Drosophila melanogaster: one gene and its partner. The protein of the gene in region 1 interacts with the protein of each later gene in a pairwise test. Each region holds a gene or a part of one and is shown in the gene's direction. Other genes may lie near its edges. The genes, in order: CG11768 and Mes2.

Region 1 (8,076 bases):
TTTGTTTATATTTCTCTAAACATATTGGACAATTTATTTATATTTGACTGCAACCATTCATATTCAGACAACAGGGAATTTAACTAATCAACGTAATGGCAATCAATGGCTTAATAACGCAATCCCAGAAGTTCGTAGAGCGGCACCTCAGCCACAGATTCACTGGCGCTGGACTCCTCAAAGTCACCGCTCTGCAGGAGATACTGTGGCCGCTCCAGTTCCGGATGGGCCAGATAGAAATCGATCAGGGCAGTGGTGCTCCGCAGGTGGGTGATGCCCTTAAAGATCTTCTCGCGGGTCAGCAGATCATCCGGATAGACTGTCTTAATGACGGTGTCCCCGGATCGTTTTAACCACGGACGATCCTTCAGTGGAACAGTGCGTCCAAATGCACTTAGCAGGGGTTTCTGGTTCACTCGGGTAGCGTGGTCATTAATGTGCTTCTCGTACTTAAGCTCAATGGCCATCTAGAAATGTAATATAATTAATAATCTGGATAACTTGTATATTGATTATAAGGGGATTTCTCTATCGTTACCTACATGTGGCTTGTTCCATTTATCGGCCACTGTCTGAGCAATGGCGTTGACCTCCTTGGGATCTGTCTTCACGGAGGCCAACAGGGTGCGATCGCCCTTGATGGAAAAAAGGTTCTTGACCTTTTCCGGGGTCAAATTGCTTTCCAAGGTGCCAAAGGAGTTCAGCCACTCGACAAAACGTTCTGCCGACTGTGGAGATGGGAATTTTAAGGATATAATGTAATAGAAAAGGGTAACCATACTAACCGCATCCATGAGGTTCTCAGCCTGCTCGTCCAGCGTGACCATGGAGAAGTTCTGGCCCGGATGCTCAACGCGACTCTGCCAGCTGACTCTCTTATCGCGCGGCGCGCACAGAAACTTGGCGTACCAACTGGACTTGTCCACGAATCGATGGGTGTGTCCCACCGGCTCATCCAACTTCAGATCAAACTTCTCGAACTCGTGCTCCATGCGCACAATATCCGAGTGGTCACTCTCGTTGAAGTACTCCTCCACCTTCTTGCGGCCAATTTCAAGGAGCTAAATTATCAGAGGATTTATATAAGGTATTGTGGAAAAGGCTCAAAACTACTCCATATCTACCACGTGGTCCTCTTCCTCCTCACTTTTTTCGCTGCTCTCGGCGCTCATGTAGTCCTCGGGTCGCACCTCCTGCATTTCGTCTCTGATGTAGATGTCCTCGTCCGACTTGGAATAGTCATAGTTCTGGATGCGCTTGACCCTCTCGCGCAATCGTGGCGGCAGCACAAGGGAATAGTCAATGACGGGAATGCGCGGCTGGAAGCGGCAGGCGGCACTGAACTCCACATCCTCAATGGCCGCGTTCCAGTAATCCTTGCCCACCAGTCCCTCACGACTTGTCAGTTTGGAGAATCCGCTCATCCCAGTGCTGGAGGATCGCTCCTTCTGCATGAGCTGCGCCTTCGTCTCCATCCGTTTGGCCTTAACTGGCTTGGCCGTAGTCTGACCAATCGTGGAGTCCAGTCGGGCGGATCGCAACATTCGGTTGATAATTGGCCGATTGGACCGCGCCACAATCGTGTTTCGCACAGTCGACCCATACTGGTGCTCCCTCCTAATTGACATGTCTGCGACTAGAAAGAATATATAACGAAACTGCCGCCGGTGGAGTATCGGAATTTTCGTTCAGTTTGTTTGTTCAATACACATTCGAGTTTCGTTCTATGACAACCAGAGCTTGTAGGCGAGTGTAACACACCATCTGCTGAAATCTATATCGTATAACCTTAGGCAGCTGATTCTAAATTGTGCACATTAGCTTGAGGATGTTCTCCATAGTACTTACATACTTATTTGCTTAAAGGTATTTATTAAATATAACCCATCAGAGTTTATTAGAAAGGTGAAGGTCTGCTGATCTTAGTGATTTTACTTGCATAGAGAGTCACTTTAAGTGACCCGCTTAAAGACGGCCGGGTCTGCTGGGGCAACGATTTAAGTGAAACCATTATGGCAATAATTGCGTATACGACCCGTTGGTGCGCTGCGAACACAAAGAATGTCCGACGGGTGGCAAAAAATCAGAGTGGCACACACAAACGAAAGCATAGGTAAAGCAAGCGGAGTCGGGCTAAAATTTATACCCAAAAGCCAACAGGTTGCCCGAGCCATCTGTTTTACTTTGCTTTCAGTGTGTGCAAACTCATGGATGGGCAGACAGACACCACACGCACACACAATCCCAAAGGCAGACACCTCTGGCCATTTGATGCTCACTTAGCTGCGTCCCACTCATAAACAAGCCACTCATTTGCAGCCAATGCCCAAGGGGTTAATCCCCCCGAATAACCCCTCCAATTTCCCTTATTCACGGCGTGAAATTGGCATGCAAATTTTATGAAATTCGGTACAATTTAATAAAGACTGTGCCTGCACAAAAGGAAAAGGTTCAGTTATGTGATTTAAGGCGTACATCATATATTGATTGGTATTTTTTAAATATCAGCTTTCAATAATTTTACGTTCTATTATATTTAGGTAACAATAATTATTTGTTAAGAAAATGTGGTAACTTATAAGATATTTTAGAAAAATTTTAAAATCTAATTTGCATTTATAAAATTTGTCTGCGGCAATTCCAATGATTTAATGTGGCATCCGACTCACCTCAAGTCCCTTCCGTTGCAAACCGGAAATGAATCACGTCGCACAAAAACTGAAAATCCAAAAAGGATATAAAAATAAGCGGCGAACCGAGTAAGCGCGTAAAAAATGCAAGCGGCAAACGACAGGAAGGCAAAGCAACAATTCAGCCATAAAGGCAGTCATGCTAATACTGAATCCCACTCAAACAGCCGAGTGCCAACTGCAACTACTCACTCGAAGAGCCGATTGAAGCCGAGCAGCGAGTCCTTAGACGGAGTTCCTTCAGTCCGTCCTCGGCTTTCGAGCGTTTCAGTCGCGAGTTCGGATCGAAAAGGACACTGGACGAGTGCAGAGCGTTCCAAGTGGTACCAACAACAAATGCCTCAGTATTATAGCCAATGCTAGAAAGTGTTAGTGTTGTTTCGCTTGATTTCAGCCAAGTCAAAAGCCAGAAGCAGTGTTGTGTAATCCAGTGAAGATGAATACTATCTATGGCCATTAAACGGAGCATTATTTCCTGATTAAATGCTGTGCTTTCATGCGACACACTTTGCTAGTGTTGTTAGTTGACTTAACCTAATGGCCTTCATGTCGCCATCAAGTCGGAGTGACACGCCGACGGCGCTTACGCCCCTCCCACAGACATTTAATGCCAATTAAAATGTTTGCTCTTTGATGTTTCCATTGCAGAATGAATGGGGAAACCAAATGCCAGCGAGATCAAAAATAATAAAAAAAAAGAAAAATGCAAATATTAAACAGATATAAAGCCGAGAGCCCCAAATGAACCAACGTATTAAGAGCCCTAATCGTAAGCGAAAGGCGAACCAAGTTTTGTAGCATACTTTTTTGGGTTTACGTCATGTTTGTCTACGCGAACCGCCATTTGTGCTTGTGTGCTTGAGTCCGCACACAAACACGCACACCATTATGTCGCCTGTATTCGTGCCTGTGTCTGTGCCTGTGTTTGTGTTTGCATTGGTGTCTGTGGGCCAGAATGCATGCCAATCAGTATCAGAATCAGAGTCCTAAATCCTGAGTCCTGAGTCCTGAAACCTGAATCATCGACTGTCCAAACATCGTGCATTGCTTTTATCCGCCTGGGCTAATTAGCTGCAGGTAACAGGTAGCTGGTCCTTGTGCCGTTTTACGTAAGTGTTCCTCCCACATCCACATGCATTCCCCCATGAGTGTCCAATTAATTTTAAATACCACACATTTAACTAAGTGCCTTGCATTGTCTCTGTGCCGTCTACTAGCCAAACCAAAGCCATGTCTTCGTTCATAAACCAAACACATCTTTCGAATCCAGCTCATGCCCGCCACTCAAATACAATTTTCAACACTCGAGCTTAATTGAGAAATGCATGTACATCTAATGCATATTTGGAATTGCATAAAACAGCTTTCGAATTAATTTAATTTGCATATCGACCTGATAGTTTCCTTGAACACTTTCATTTTGCTTGATTTCTTCTACTTTAAGTCCAGAATGGTCCTTGAATGATTTGAGTTCAATTCCATTTGTTTTTTTAAATTGAATGCTAAGCGTAAGTGTAATTTCCTGCACCTATTTATAAGCATGAATATTTAAAATATTTCCGCCCGCACTTACCCCGATTCCCCCAAAATCTCAATTTCGATTTGGCCCTTTCCGCTTCCTGTCAATCTGCAAACGATGGCAGCGACATTAGCTCTCGACTCTAGAGAACTCTATAAATAAATGAGAATTGTGGGTAGCGCGCCATTGCGAGAGGATATGGGTGAGTATACCGCGGGAGGAAGAGCTGTTGCGATGCGATGGCATATCCATGTCCTGCATGTCCTGCTGACCCTCCACGAACGGGGGATTACTCATACGTCGTTTAATATGAAAATATAATTCGCTTTTTGTTGTGCCATGTACTCTCTTCTGTGGTCTTTCCCGCTGTGCGTGTGGCCAAGAGATATGGGTACGCGTGGTATCCCCACGTTCCCCTTCCGTCACCCGATCCTTCATTTTTCCACGCCGCAGGACACAAGGACCGCAATCAGCTAAGCAAACGCGTCAAATGCATACATTTTCCACCAGCCGTGCGACAAGCTCTTAATAGAACAAGAAAAACTGCGGCGTGGAAACAAACCGATGTGGTCAATGCCCTAAAAATGTAATTGAAAAATTGTACTTTATTTGTAAATTGCCTTCAAAGTATGGCGGTATTATCTTAAATTATGAAAAACGCCCCAATTGCAAAACAACTTTAATGACTTGCAATAAAAAATGTGCTTAGAAATTAGGATTCTAAAACAAGCCCCAAGGCAATAAAAAACAAATTGCATCTGAAAGTTCGATGATTCAAATTAAAAATACATTTTTATCCGTTCGTCTAAAAACCAGATATTCAGAAGGCTTTTCTTTAGAACAAACTTAATTAGTATCCTTTGAAGAGTATCTTGAAATGATGAGTGATGGCGCTGACAGGCGAGTTGTTCACAGTTTTGCGACGGATTCCTAGCGCTTATATGACACATGAGATGCATTTGAGTGAAATGTGCACACAGACTGATGTATGCAGTCATATGCTTTATGGCCTTTCAGGTTGCAAAATATTTACCCAGTCATGGTAATCATCTGAAAGGTATCCAATAAATGTTGCTATTCGATTGACGGAAGCCAAGCCCGTGTCACAGATGTGTTCTTCGGATGGTGATAACTTTGATTGGGAATCTCGACATTTCCACATTGAGCACTTCAACGAGCGCGGAGTGCGGAAAATTCCTATCAGGTGCAAGGACTACAATGCAATCCCCGCACGCTGGCAGTTCGATCCATTGAGAAGAACAGGCAATGTCAATCTGGCAAGGATGGTACATAACCCCACCTCCTCCCTGTTTTTCTCCTGCCTTAAAACTTTTCCATGGCAGAGGGCAAAAAAATCGAAGCGTTTGACATGTGGCCAACATGTCAGGGGAGTTCCCATTCTCCATTCTTGTGTTGTGTGTTCTTGCCTCGCGGCGTTGGCAAGGTATGGATTGAATGCAACCAGGTGGGGGCATCTAAGACATGGAGCCAGGCATTTTACAGATGCGCCACTGGCCAAAGTAGAAAAAAAAGATGATATTTCTATTCCGAGCTGTATCAATTAAATGTAAGGAACTCAACTATGATGATAGAAACTATTGATTGACCTTCAATGTCACATTCATTAATCTCCTAGAGCTTCCTTTTTAAGAAGTTTTCCACTGTGCAGTTGCAACTTGCTTAAAGAACAAGAACACTTGAGGGAATAGAGGCAGTCTTCATATGGATACCCGCATCCTCGTATGGCCATCGGCAATGCTGCATGTCTGGGGGAGTGCGAGTCCTGCATTGTGGCGCCACATCCGAGTAGTGGGCACCCAGAATGGAGAACTGGGAGCCGAAAACTGAAGACTGGCACTATTTGCTGACGGTCTCGGCCTCCTTTGTCAGCCATTGTTTGACTAGATGGCCTTGTGCTCCATTTCACACAGTCGAGTGGCACGTCACAATATTTTATAGTTATGGTGTGTTTCATTGACATAAGTTGGCTTTGTTTGGCAAAGTGTGTTGGCTGGTTTTATGTGGGGCGCGCAATAAATAAATTAGCCACAAATCACAACGTTTAAGCGTGGTATGCTAACTATAGCATAAGCATAAACAGTAATTTTATGTTGGCAACTTTTGATTTATTGCACAACGTTGTTATATGACATGAAGGCAGTAAGACAGTAACAAAGCACCAAAAACATGGCCTGTAATTGCTGTCAGCGGGTGACTTTTCGGTGGGTGGTGGCTTAGGCCATGGCCAAGTCTACAAAATATGGCCGCTCTTTCTTTCCTTCCCTCAGACTTTTTAAGGCAACTTTTTTCTACACGTTCTCAGAATGTATACGTATTAAAAATTTGGCAAGACATGCGACATTTTTAGCCCTAATTTGAGAGCACTCAGTGATGATGATAACGATTTTGAACTTTTCATTATGCAAAGTGATCAAAAGTGGCATTAATAATTCAGGCACACATAAGAAAATTAAGCAACGAGCCATGTCAAAGATAAGGACCTTAATTTGTATATACACACACGTATATATTATTTCAATTGCCATATCAAATTATGGCCACTCAGCGTCGTGGGTGTGGCCTTCTTAATGCCTTAATGGATATCAACTTGAGGTTAAAGTTCAGAATACCCTATAAATGTTTTAAAACAATTTTTTTATATTTTAGTGTCTACAAATATTACTGACAAGAAAGATCTTTGAATATTGGTGCATATTTTAGCACTTTTAGCGAACCAAATTTTCGGCAAACTCAGCTCGTTATCAACTTTATTACTGCGAAACTTCTTTAGCTGATTTTTCCATGGAATCTTGAACCCAAAAGAAAACTTTTCCGACTCTTACCCACAAACACTGAAATCGTATTTTTCTTTGTATTTTTGGGTAAATGTTTTTTCTGTTTTTTTTTTCTTGGTTGAAAATGAAAACTTACGGGCACTGCTCAATTGAAATGCGCATTTGGAAAATTGGCAAAAACAAGTGACTGAAATTCAATATTATATATGTATATATTTAATATATATTATATGGCAGAGGGAAACTTTCCATCCGCCAGCCAGTTTGAAAAATAAGCACAAACCGGTCCTGACCTGCGTGGCAATATTGGCCAACCGAGGGCTTCCAGGACTTGATAAATGGGCTGATTTGACTTTCGACTCGTAAACACTCACAAACACACGTACACTCGCGCACACACAGATACTCACACCCACTTGCAGGACAGACAAACAAACACTCGTGAAGTCGACCAGTTGGTTATCTTAAATGCTACAAGTGCTTTGGAAATTGATTGAAAATACTGCCCGCCTGCCAATGGATTTTCTCGAGTTTGTATTTCACGCTATTCGTACCATTTCCCTCGACTGCTTCGAACGTATTGAATAATGCATCCAGACCAAATAACAAATATACACGCATATACACTCAGTGCGTATACGCCCCGTTGGCGGTGGCAAATCGGCACACTTGCCTGCCCAATGGCTAAAATATTTAATTAAATTTAATTTGGCTTTCGTGCGGAATAAAGCTAATTGTTGCAAATGGTATACAGGTTAAAATTAAATTGCTTCCCACAAAGGGTAATGGCTATTTATAATGAACGGCCAAAGTCAAAGCGATTACATTACGGTGTACATCTACTCTGGGAAATTTTTAAGTGTTTATTAAATGTGTCAATAGTAAACTTTTTTAGATTCATTTAACTTCATATATAATAAGGCAATGAATAAATTAAAGCGAATTGCACATTTATTGAACGTAAAATTCCTGAAATTAAACCATTTTTATTGCATTACGCAGAGTTCCTTTGAGCATTCAATTAAACTTTTTTATACCATCGTATAATTTTATTCAAATGAATATGGGTTAA
Region 2 (11,381 bases), on another chromosome or scaffold:
AAAAGCTCAATGAATAACATTTTCGAAACTATTTTAACTACTGAGGCCACAATCTAATCTAATCTTGCAGACCTTGGTGTCGACTCGAATCTTATATCTTTAGCAGTTTTGAATCGGCTAACCGAGCTTAAGTTCCTCAGAAGACGATCGTTGGACATCTTTTTTTTCCGTCCCAGGCTTTTGTTTTGAGTGTCAGTTTTTCAATGTTCGTTGAGAAATCCCCGATAGAAAATGTACTTAAGCCAATGTAGTATTCATATCACGAAGGCTTAAGATGCACTTATTTTCAACATAATCCAATTTAAAATCTAATTTTTTACCTAATAAGCTTAAAAATAACTAGTTGTTTTAGAATTCTCAATTTTTATGTAAGAAATTTTCGAAATAGATCTAAATTCTATATGTAAACATAGTCTCTTCGGGGGTCCATAAATTGAATGCAAGCTAGTCTGTAAAATCAAAGTTAAGACCTATGAGAGACAGCAAGTAGAGTAAATAGGTATACAAGATTCGTTGAAAAGTATGTAACATGCAGAATTAATTGTTTCCGACCATATACGGTGTATAAATATTCTTGATCAGGATCAATAGCCGAGTTTATCTGGCCTGTCCGTTCGTCTGTCCGTCCGTATGAACGTCGAGATCTCAGGTACTATAAAAGTTGGAAGTTGGTTGAGATTAAGCTTAGAGATTCCAGAGATATAGACGCAGCGCAAGTTTGTTGACTCATGTTTCCACGACCACTATAACGCCCGAATCTGAGAATTATGTTATATTTCTTTCGTCTATTCCTTTCGTCTATTTCGATTTGATGGAATCCAGATATCAGGTCTATGTCAAGTTTGTGTGTATGTAAGTAAATTGTGGATAAACTAACCTTGTATACCCTTGCGCTCTGTGAACAAACGGTCCAATAGCTCAGGCAATCTTCAGATCTGGCCAGATACATATGCATGTAGCTGTGGATAAGAGAAGACAGCAGCGGAAGCAAGCTATTGCCTTGGTAAGGAGGGTGGGGAATCTGATATAGGGCGGAGATCGCAGAGTTTTGCCAGAAAAATGATCGTGACAACGTTTGTGCGGGCACGTTGTGCTGCTTGTTGTTGTCCCAAAACAGAATACATTAATTGACACTTGGCCGGAAATAGTTCATTAGGCATAAATTACGTACAGACAAAGCGTTTTCATTTTTCTCTGGCTCTCTGTTCGCCATTTGCTTCCCTACCGACGCGGTTGTCGATTGCAGTTACTGGATTTCAGCGGCTTAAATGATCGGGGGACAAAATAGACAACCTCGGACGGTCTTATCTGTGCTGCCACTCACACACACGCATTCGCTCAAACGCATTCTCACTCTAACACTCTCGGTGCCTCCCTGTCACTCCTTGGCAAGACCAACATGTGTGATCCAAATGTTCATTTGTAAATTCTATAAACGGGGAAATACGATAATGAACTGAACTTCGACTCTACAACTGCAGCGAACGAAGCCAGCCACGGGCGGAGTCCACAAAAACACACTGTGGTAGAACACTAACCCACCCTTCTTCAACTATTCATTGCTTAAGCTATGGCCAGGCCCCCTGGAAAAAAATTATAAATCTTTAAGTCAAGCAGCCAGCCATTGATGGAATCAGATCGTCCGATGAGTATATTTAGCCCTCTTTACATTTAACAACAAATTTGTGCTCTTATATCGTAAATTCTACACAAAATTATTTATCTTCCAGTAATTATACTCGTTACTCGTAGTATAAAAGAGTATATTAGATTCGTTAAAAAGTATTTAACAGATAGAAAGTATTCATATTATTGATCAGGATCAATAGCCTGTCCGTCCGTTGAACGTCGAAATCTCAGGAGCTATAAGAACTAGAAGGTCAAGATTATGCATACAGATTCTAGAAACATAGACACAGAGCCAGTTTGCTTCCACGCCCACAAGTCGGGCAAAACTGTCACGCCCACACTTTTGAAAACTGTTTTGATATTCTTTCATAGTTTTATTAGTCTTGCAAATGTGTATGGTTTTGCAAAAAAACTTTTAAAAAAGTTTTGATATTTTTTCATCTTTTTTAATTATAAATTTTTATCGATTATGCCACACCCACTATCGACCGTAAGCCGCAGAAACCTGTCACGGACACACATTTGAAAAATATGTTATATCTTTTTTTCACATTTTTATTAGTATTGTAAAATTCTATCGATTTGCTACAAAAACTTTATGCCACGCCCACTCTAACGACCACAAACCTCCCATTTCTTCTTGTCCAATATCTATCGATGGTCCTAAAAAATTATGAAATTTCGCGTTCTCACTTCCACTAGCTGAGTAAAAGGTATTTGATATTCGGGGAACTCGTGCGTTCTCTCTTCTTATTTATTTAAAACAAGAGAGAACAATAGTCGATTACTTTCGACTATCAGATACCCGTTACTCAGCGAATTTTGAGATTTTTTTTGTCATTTCGATGGAAATTTACATTTATATAACAAAATGAAATGAAAATCAAATCCCTTTTCACAACTGAGAGCAGGATACCTGGCCAATAAACGGTTTCATGGCGTCTGGATAGGCTTGCGAACGCACTAACTTGCATGCGAACGGACAGGCGGACAGATCAAGATTATATGTATGTGTGTACTCCAGTAAACTTATAATTATTATGTTAGTCTAAAACCTTAATGCGTTGGAGATTTACAATAAATGTATGTACATATGTACATAGTCATGAATTCTTTAAATTCCTCGAAATTGTTCCGATACGGGAATCGACCCCCCTATATTAATTGAAGCTGATATGGCCGAAGTGCAGCGTATTCTGCCAAGAAACGCTATCCAAGTATTTTGGTACGTATGTATGTATGTACATACATGTGTATATGGTACATTCATGTAGTACATACATACATATGTATGCAAGTACGTACGAACGCTCGACAATTCCTCTGCTAAAACCAAATGCGAACGCGTCAACGGATTTTTGTATTACACACATTTTCTGTTGTTTCGTTCTGCGCGTTCTCCCTGTTGTGTGTGTGTGTGTGTGCGACGCCGCTTTTCGCTTGCTTTTACTTTCTGTGGCTTGTGATTGCGATTAAACGGGGTTTCCATCCGGCGAGTCGCGCTCTAGGCAGCGCCCGGAGAGCGCTTTAGACCTATATGTCTGGATCAGATAACGGGAACGGTGGCAGCGAGCCACGGCCGGAGAGAGACAGAGAGCGCAAAGAGCTATAGCTGGCTCTCATGTCGATGTCGAATGCGCGTGATTTTTTGGCTCTGAATGCGGGCTTGCTGCCAACTGCGCTGCCGGCTCGGCGTCGACGACGGCTGAGCGCAGCCCGCTTGCCGCGGTGGTTGTTATTTTCTGGTCTTGGTTTTTAGTTGCCGTTTAAACTTGGTCGTGAGAGGGTAGCAGCCCCGTTATCAGCCGACCGCGATCGCGTCCGAACTAAAGAGTACTGTGGAGCCCTGGCCAGTTCAAGCCTTCAAATCCTCCAGAACATTCTGATGGCGCCCGTGAGCGGCTGTTTGCCCACCGCCACCCACTCGCTGCAGGACATGAGTGCTGCCGCCGCGGCAATCGCTCTTGACATGAAGCCCAAGTTGGAGCCCCACCCCCTGGCCGCCGCAACTGCCATGCCCTCTCAGAAGATAAAGAAATGTGCGTACACAGATTTATTCCCCACATTCATGCAAACATACGTACATACATATGTATATATGTACAATTTTTATGCAAAATGCAGTCGAAAGTCGATACGTCGAACAAGCAGTAGAATTTATTTTATCTCTTCATTGCCTATTCAAATAGTTCGGTTCACCCTATGTGCAATGTACATACATATACGTACATACGTATGTATGTACATTTGGGTTAAAAAAGTTCGACTTATAGAAGTTTTGAGGTGCCTGTACCGTGCTTTCTTAAAATATTCGACTGTCGAGACTCGAGGACTTATATTATTTGCATTCATTTTTGTGTCCCAACAGTGGTTCGGCGCAACGCCTCCGACAAGCTGAAGCTCATCCAAATGGTGCACGACAATCCAATTCTCTGGGACTCCCGTCTCCCGAATTTCAAGGGCGCCGAAGAAGAAAAGAACCGAGCCTGGGAGCACATAGGCCGCGAGTTCAACGCTCCCGGGCGTCGCGTTGCACGGGCCTTCAAGTCCTTGAGGGAATCCTACCGCCGTGAACTCGCCCACGTCAAGCTAATGGGCAATGGCTTCAAGCCCAAGTGGAGTCTCTATGAGGCCATGGATTTCCTGCGCGATGTCATCAGAGAACGAAAGTAAGTATAAGGAATAGTATTTTAGTGAACTGGTGACCAGGTGATTCTCTTAAATTTAAAACCGTCAAGGAAGTTTCATGCCAATATCGACTCCTGGGGTTGACCAGTAATATAGAGCCCGTTATGAATTTTGCATTCTCTGCTTGACCCATTATTGCCACACCACAAATCATGTCACTAAAAATGATCTTCATCCAAATGGCTTTACAAAAGCAAAAGCAATAATAGAACACGAGAGAAGAGCGCTTAAATTTAAAATTTGACAGAAATACGAGTCATTCTTATAATCGAATAGTAAAGTACATGAAATTCTATATCAACGAATAATTATTACAGAACGTATTGCACTTATTTCCAAGTTTTCTTTTAATCTTTCTAGGCAATATTTACCTTTCCCAAAATGATCTTAATTAACGTACTTATTCTTATCCTCTGCTTTTTGGAGATCGATACCAAAACAAATCTAAAAGTGGAACCGTTATTTCTCAAAAGTAATGCTCCCTTACGACTACAGTTCTTCAATAATATCGTCTTACACTCTGAACATTATTTGTGTCAGGAGTACATTTGGCTACTTATATTACAATGAGTTTGATAAGCCGTCACTAACCATACAACCATCGAACAACGGTCAAAGTTTGGCTTGAGTCGTGAATAACAGTTTTCGGTTTAGATTGGTCTTCTGTTTTGGTCATACACGGATTGATTCATGCGAAACAAATACATGCATCAGTTTGAAGACTAGCTAACTTATACACAATAATAATGTGACTCACCTTTCCAACGATCATTTACATTGGTCGAAGGTATTGTATGCTTTCCAGTCCTGTGTCTGAAAGAGGTTTTTCCGAATCTGCCCCCCTAAAAATATGTGTGCTTGTCAGTAGTCAGTCAAGCGAACAATGTTGTTTAGCTTGGCTCAATCAAAAATAATTATTGCAGGAAATTCCAAGAATCTTATCATTTTATGCGAGTAGCCACTTCAGCTTATGTACACTGAGAAGTGTATGAGTTTGTGAGTCATGGCTTAGATCTAATGTTGGACAAAATATGTCAATAAATTTATTTCAAAAATCATAGAATCACGGACTTCGTAAAGATCTGACAATTTAAATAAATTGAGAATTCGGAAATATGTTCAGATCGAATAGACAATACATACAATTGTCACATAAAAAACATGTGATAAGTTTAGCATAAAGTTATTCGAACCGTAACTACGAAATTCCACTTCCATTCGAGCCTTCGTACAAAACTCATCCCTTAGCCCAGTCGATTTGCATAAACGCCCAACAATTCGAGCAAATCTCAGCACCGTGTCTGAGAAAACATCTGCCCAGCGAAAAAGAATAGCAAAAACAAGGCAAGGGGGCATATGGACACTAAGGAGCGGTAATGTGGAAAAAACCAATCCGAACAAAGGAATGACCGGGCCAGAGACCCGCAAATGGTCTCAGTCGAGAGTCTGCCCCGTCCAATGTTCTGGCTCATATGGAGCCGTGCTCGAGCTGCGGGTGTGTGTGTGTGTGTGAGTGTGTGTACTTTATGTACATATTTATATGAAATAAGGCCATTTCCTTTCAATTGACTGTACCCACATGGGCAACAAGCAGTCGACGGCCCCGACACATGCCCGCGCACACTCACCCATGGTGTGTGTATATATTTAAATTTTTATTATTGTGAGCTGATAACAGACAGCTCAACGGGCCCGGCCAGTCGGGCAGCGCTTGAGCCGGAGCTATAGCCGCAGCTATAGCCACAGCCATAGCCATAACACAGATCTCGCCAAGCGGCGAATATTATACAACGTCGCAGCATCGTCGCTGCTTGAACCAAAAACGAAATTGAGGGAAGCTGCAAACGCAAGACCAAGTCCATCGAATAGTGCTTGCGAGAGGGGTGGGGACTATGGGAAGGCGCCGAGAGAGCGATAAATTAATGAGAGCACTACGAAAATGACAATCAGCACCGAAGAATACGGATTGCGAGTGGACCAAGTTGGGAAAGACTGGTAGCTCGTGAGCGAGAAAGGGGCTGGTAAGGGAAAATGAGCGAGGTTCTGCCTGTGTGTGTATGACATGAGCACCGAACACTCGTAAAGATCGCTGTATGGGTGAGCTGAGTAATTGAACGAATAGCTTGGTCTGACTTCGGCCAGGGTTAAAAATATGCCCACGACCATTAGCCAGCCGCATCGGCCGCGTCCCGGCCAAGGGGTTGCTGAGACCCAGAGTCGGGGTCTGGACGCCTCTTTCAGGCTGCCCTGGCCCACATGCTTTCGTCGTTCAGTCCTCTCTTAATGGGGGGCTCTCGTACCCTCACCCTCACACACACGAGGCCACTTGGGTGTGAAAGTTCTGCTGGGCTCTGTCTGTGTCACGCTTATGATTTAATAAGCAAATGTGCTGCGAAATTGCTGAAATTGTTTGGCTGTCCGTCATCCCCACAATCCGAATCTCGCCCCACGCCCTGAAATCACTGTCCGCCGTATTTCGCATTGAAATGCTTTAGCCAATGCGTCACGGAAGAAGAAAAGTGGGCGGTAGTCCGTGCTTGCCTTTTGATTCTCGTACCTTTAAATGCCTTTGCATGGAGCTAGTTCTTGCCTAATAAATCATAATAAAAAGTTCTAGGTCTGCAAAAATCTAAAATCTCATTCGGACCATTGGAATATTTAATTATGTTATTATTATATTAATATTCATAGATTTGTTTCCAAGTGCAGGTGATAGAGATTTTAGAAAACGAATTCAAACCACAAAAACCCATAAACAATCTCGGAAAACGGCTTGGGACCTAAGCAAGAGCGGAAGCAAATAATGATAAGCTGAGCGATTCAAACCCCGAAAAGAAACCAAGTCAAAATAATGAAGTAAATAAAGCCATTCCCGATTGTGGAACATGTGAAAATGTATTTCGACTCGATTAGTCCTGCGAGTTTTTTGGTCTTGGCTGGCGAGCGAGTATCAGTTTTCAAATTTTACAATTGTCAACTACCTGCAGCCGATTGCGGTGATAAGGCTGTCTTCTAGGTCGCCCATGCCCGTGCCTACCACTAGGCCAGGTCTTTGCATTCGGCAAATAACTATAGGTATGGGGGAGGCCCAAAATAGCCACGTTCAGATGTTCTTTGAGCACCCGGCCCAGGCAGCTGCATTGCCTGTGAAAATGCTCTTGAAACTTGAGACGCGTAAGGAGAGAGACAGGAAGCGATACTACACTGAAAGACATTTATGTTTATGCATTTCTTGTGTTATTGCCTTAAACAGACAAGATTTCAAAATGGGGATATGAATCGTTGAGTCACAGGAAACATATGAACTCTATAAGGCTAATACAATTATATTTTTGTGTGTTTTCGAACTCACAATTAATACGAACATGCTTTCCTTATCAGGGTCACTATCCGATCGCAATGTCCGTCGGCATAAAACAAAGCTAATTAGTTGATGACAACCTAGCAAAGTTTTACGAACTTATTGATTTGTCTTTCAGACTATTCTATTTCTAATTTTTTGCCCAACGTTTTGCAAATGATTATTGCCAGCATTATTTAATATTTTTTTATTTATTGTAATTAATATAATTTAAGATAAGAGAAAGAAAATCTGTTATACTATAAATGATGTGTGAGAGACAAAGAAAAGTATTCTTTCTACTTTTAATTTAAGAACGTAGGCGGTTCTTAAAGTGTATTAAAAACAATGTACATAACCACTAGTCACGGTTATATGTTATTGTATTTAATAAATTTATTAATCTTTTTGTATGCCCTTTTAAACAACCTCCTTCATCAAATTTTTATTAGTATTCAACTTAACATCAATACAAAATAAAAAAATACCGCAGACTTGCTGCGAATATGAATATTGAATATGACGCAAAAGTAAAACCCAACCTTAAACCCGTTAAAATGTGAAATAATTTAGTCTTCTAACATATGTTCTTTCTATTATAGGGGCGCTTCGCATGCAACCGATCTAAGCCTGACAACCTATGGCCATATTAACAATAACAACAACAACAACAACAACAGTAACAGCTTGGCTGCAGGGGGAAAGGCAATGACCCTGAAGCTGTCCAATTCCTTTAACGAGTCCGCCTCAGTGTTAAATCTCTCAAAGTGCTCCTCGCTCAATGTAAGCGACGATCACTACTATTGCGACTACTATGTGAAGCCGGAGCTGGATCTCTCGGTGGGCGGTGGGGCCGGAAGTAGCACAAGTGGGAGTAGCTCCGGCGGCGGGCCACTTCCTCTGCCCGCTCACCAGGCTCACAACGACAGTCGGGTGAGCTCAACGAGAAACGAGCAAAGGGCACAGCATCACAGCTATGAAGACATGGACGACAGCTCGATACGCAGCGGGGACGAAGATATCGCCCACGCATCCGACGTAGTGGAGGAGTTGGATGCCATCGATGCAGATTTCCCTTATCCTCTGATTCTGGATTCCAACTCACGCGGTAGCCCCAATGTTGGTGTGGACGATGTGGTCATGTCCCGCAAGCTTCGCCGTAACGTCGATCAAGATGTTTTGGAGGAAGGAAACGGTCACGGCGATGCGGTTATCGATGGTGACGACTACGAAGAACAAATGCTGCAACAGCACCGCCATCTCCGGCAGCAACAGGGCGTCGCAAGCGGAGGGTTGGATCTGCCGCCCCCACAAACTGTACGTGAGGTTTTGAACTCCAAGTTCTGCGGCTTTATTTCAGCCAAGCTAAACAGCATGGAGGACTCGGACGCGGACAATTTAATGAATCGCATTCTTCTCTTACTGGTTCAAGTGCAGCAGTGCGAAGGGTCCACGAAATAGACAGCGGAGGAGAAGAGCGCTAAGTGTACGGGTGTAATTATAGTAGCCAAAAAAAAGTACATAATGGAATGATGTTGCTGCTCAGAGCACTTATAACTGAATTTTCTTGCCATTATATATTACTTTCCTAAAGAAATACAAATTTACTTGCCAATGCCAAATCTGTGCCATACCAAAAGGATCAATCAAATATGAATGATTTTCTAAAACATTCTCTAATTTTTTCGCTCCTATTAACAAAAATGAACCAAACTCAACGAAAAGACAACACAAAGACGTAAACCAAGAAATAGCAAAATAAGAAACATAGATTAATTAAGCTTTAAATGTTAATTTCGTTTTAAGTCGATCAACTGTAGTTCATACTCATGCCAACGTCTCATCACATGAAACAATTCTTTATATAACCTTTTATTTTACCCAGATTATATCGCCTATATATAATATAACTTCTTGTTAAGTTGAAAACGTAGAAATTAGAAAAGAAAAGTTTTTAACTTAAAAAAGCGAGCATATTACTCATAGTTTCATATACAGCGATATGAATATTAACAATATCTGAACACTAAATGAGAACAGCTTTAACAATTTGTCGTTTTTGAATAAAACACCATCTTTGGCAGTAATGCTTTGCTATCGATGTACGCAGACAATGTTTTGGCCATTCAGCCCAATTTAAATCAAAAATTTTGAAAAAGTTTTCCGTTTTTCGGTGGATATTGAGTAATAAAGTACCTTTAAATATAAAAAAATCAAACGTGTCTACCGAACATGAACATAATCAGCCGATTTTTATTAATTTAAATCCGAAATTATTTATAGTCAGGAATAAATATTTTATATCGATACCAAATCAGGAAACTTTGTTATCCATTTTATTCTTGCGATTATTGCTATGGCATTCACGACTGACTAGCTTTATAGACTAGGCAGTTCACATTGATGGAGCATTTATAACTTTTACGGTTGCAAATGCCCCCTTTACTGTGTGGCAAATATCTGACTAAAATCAATGTACCTTCTGCAAAGGTATACAAATTATTAATAATGCGAAAGGGGATTTTTTTCCTCTTGTTGGTTTCGGTGTAAATCTACATACTTAAAGCTCCTAAACTAAACAAAATTTGAATATGATACTCAAATAGCAACAACAGCCCTACGACAATGGAAAGCACTCACATTGGGCCTGTAACACATCCATATAGCATCCTGCCAATTCTGCTCAAGTAAGACTGCAGGAATTCCAATTCATTAATACAGAGGACGTATAGGCGAAGAACAAAGGAACAAAAGACTACAACAACGTATAAATACCATGGCAGGCAGATGTGGGTAAGCCTAGCCAAAAAAAACGGCGAATCGAGCCTGGGTATCGCTGCATATGACCGAAAAATTTATTAAGATAAATACATAGCCACATCGAAACCTACGGTAAGCAACCCCTATCAAGAGATTCGGCCTGGCCAAGGTATCTAGCTACCTCAAACCCTTAAACCCAAAAAGAGCGTTGCGCATGCGCAGAAGATGCCAAAACTCAGCCCTAGCCTCGACGCAGCCCAAAACTGGTTTTTCAACGCAATAATAGCTGAATGAATTCATTGAAGGCCGTAATGCAGTGCCCCTAAGGGATGCTGCCTGCGTTAGCACCTCTGTTGCTAAAAGAAGCGGGTTCAATGACCGTGGCCGGCTGTTTACAATTTTAAAGAGCCAACATTTTCGTTAAACTGGAACTTAAAATTGGACCGAGTATGTCAACTATATATCAGCAATATAGTTCTCGGATCCGGCCCGTTGCAACTTACATACATATATACTGCCTGAAATAGAAAATACTTTTATAAAAGTTGTTTGTAGAAAGCTTTAAAGCCAAGACCAGTTTCTGCAGCAGACTGGCAGATACTTTTTGATACTTATTACGAATATAACATATGTACATATATACTACTATCTTTCACTGCAAACTTCTGACATGGTATACCCAGTGGAAGTTATGAAATGGCTTAGAACCATATCGGTGAATAACAATACTCAGGACACGTTAATATATTTTCAAAAACCACACAAATTACAATTACTAAATCGCCTCTTCTATGAAACGTTTACTTCTATTTAACAATTTTGACATATGTTTTATCAACATTTGACATCTATAGCAAATTGCTATAATAAAGAAATTTAGAAAATAGAAAAACTGGTGCTAGGCTTCATCAACATCAGCATAGTACATAATCGTCGGGTTGCAGAAGTATCGTGTGATATACTT

The links.
Region 2: the proteins of CG11768 (region 1) and Mes2 interact in a two-hybrid assay, tested with the Drosophila melanogaster proteins (one large-scale study listed by BioGRID).

The regions. Positions count from the first base shown.
Region 1 is NT_033777.3:8,763,057-8,771,132, reverse strand, and holds the start of CG11768 (uncharacterized protein), read left to right. Parts: upstream 1-2,941; 5' UTR 2,942-3,013; exon of another isoform or gene 3,014-3,058; intron 3,059-3,338; 5' UTR 3,339-3,799; intron 3,800-8,076. Other genes in the region: CG8236 (uncharacterized protein), read right to left, coding at 111-467, 543-728, 786-1,061, 1,125-1,628.
Region 2 is NT_037436.4:22,942,273-22,953,653, forward strand, and holds Mes2 (Mesoderm-expressed 2), read left to right. Parts: upstream 1-3,384; 5' UTR 3,385-3,514; coding exon 3,515-3,668; intron 3,669-3,722; exon of another isoform or gene 3,723-3,912; intron 3,913-3,997; coding exon 3,998-4,298; intron 4,299-8,259; coding exon 8,260-9,118; 3' UTR 9,119-9,976; downstream 9,977-11,381.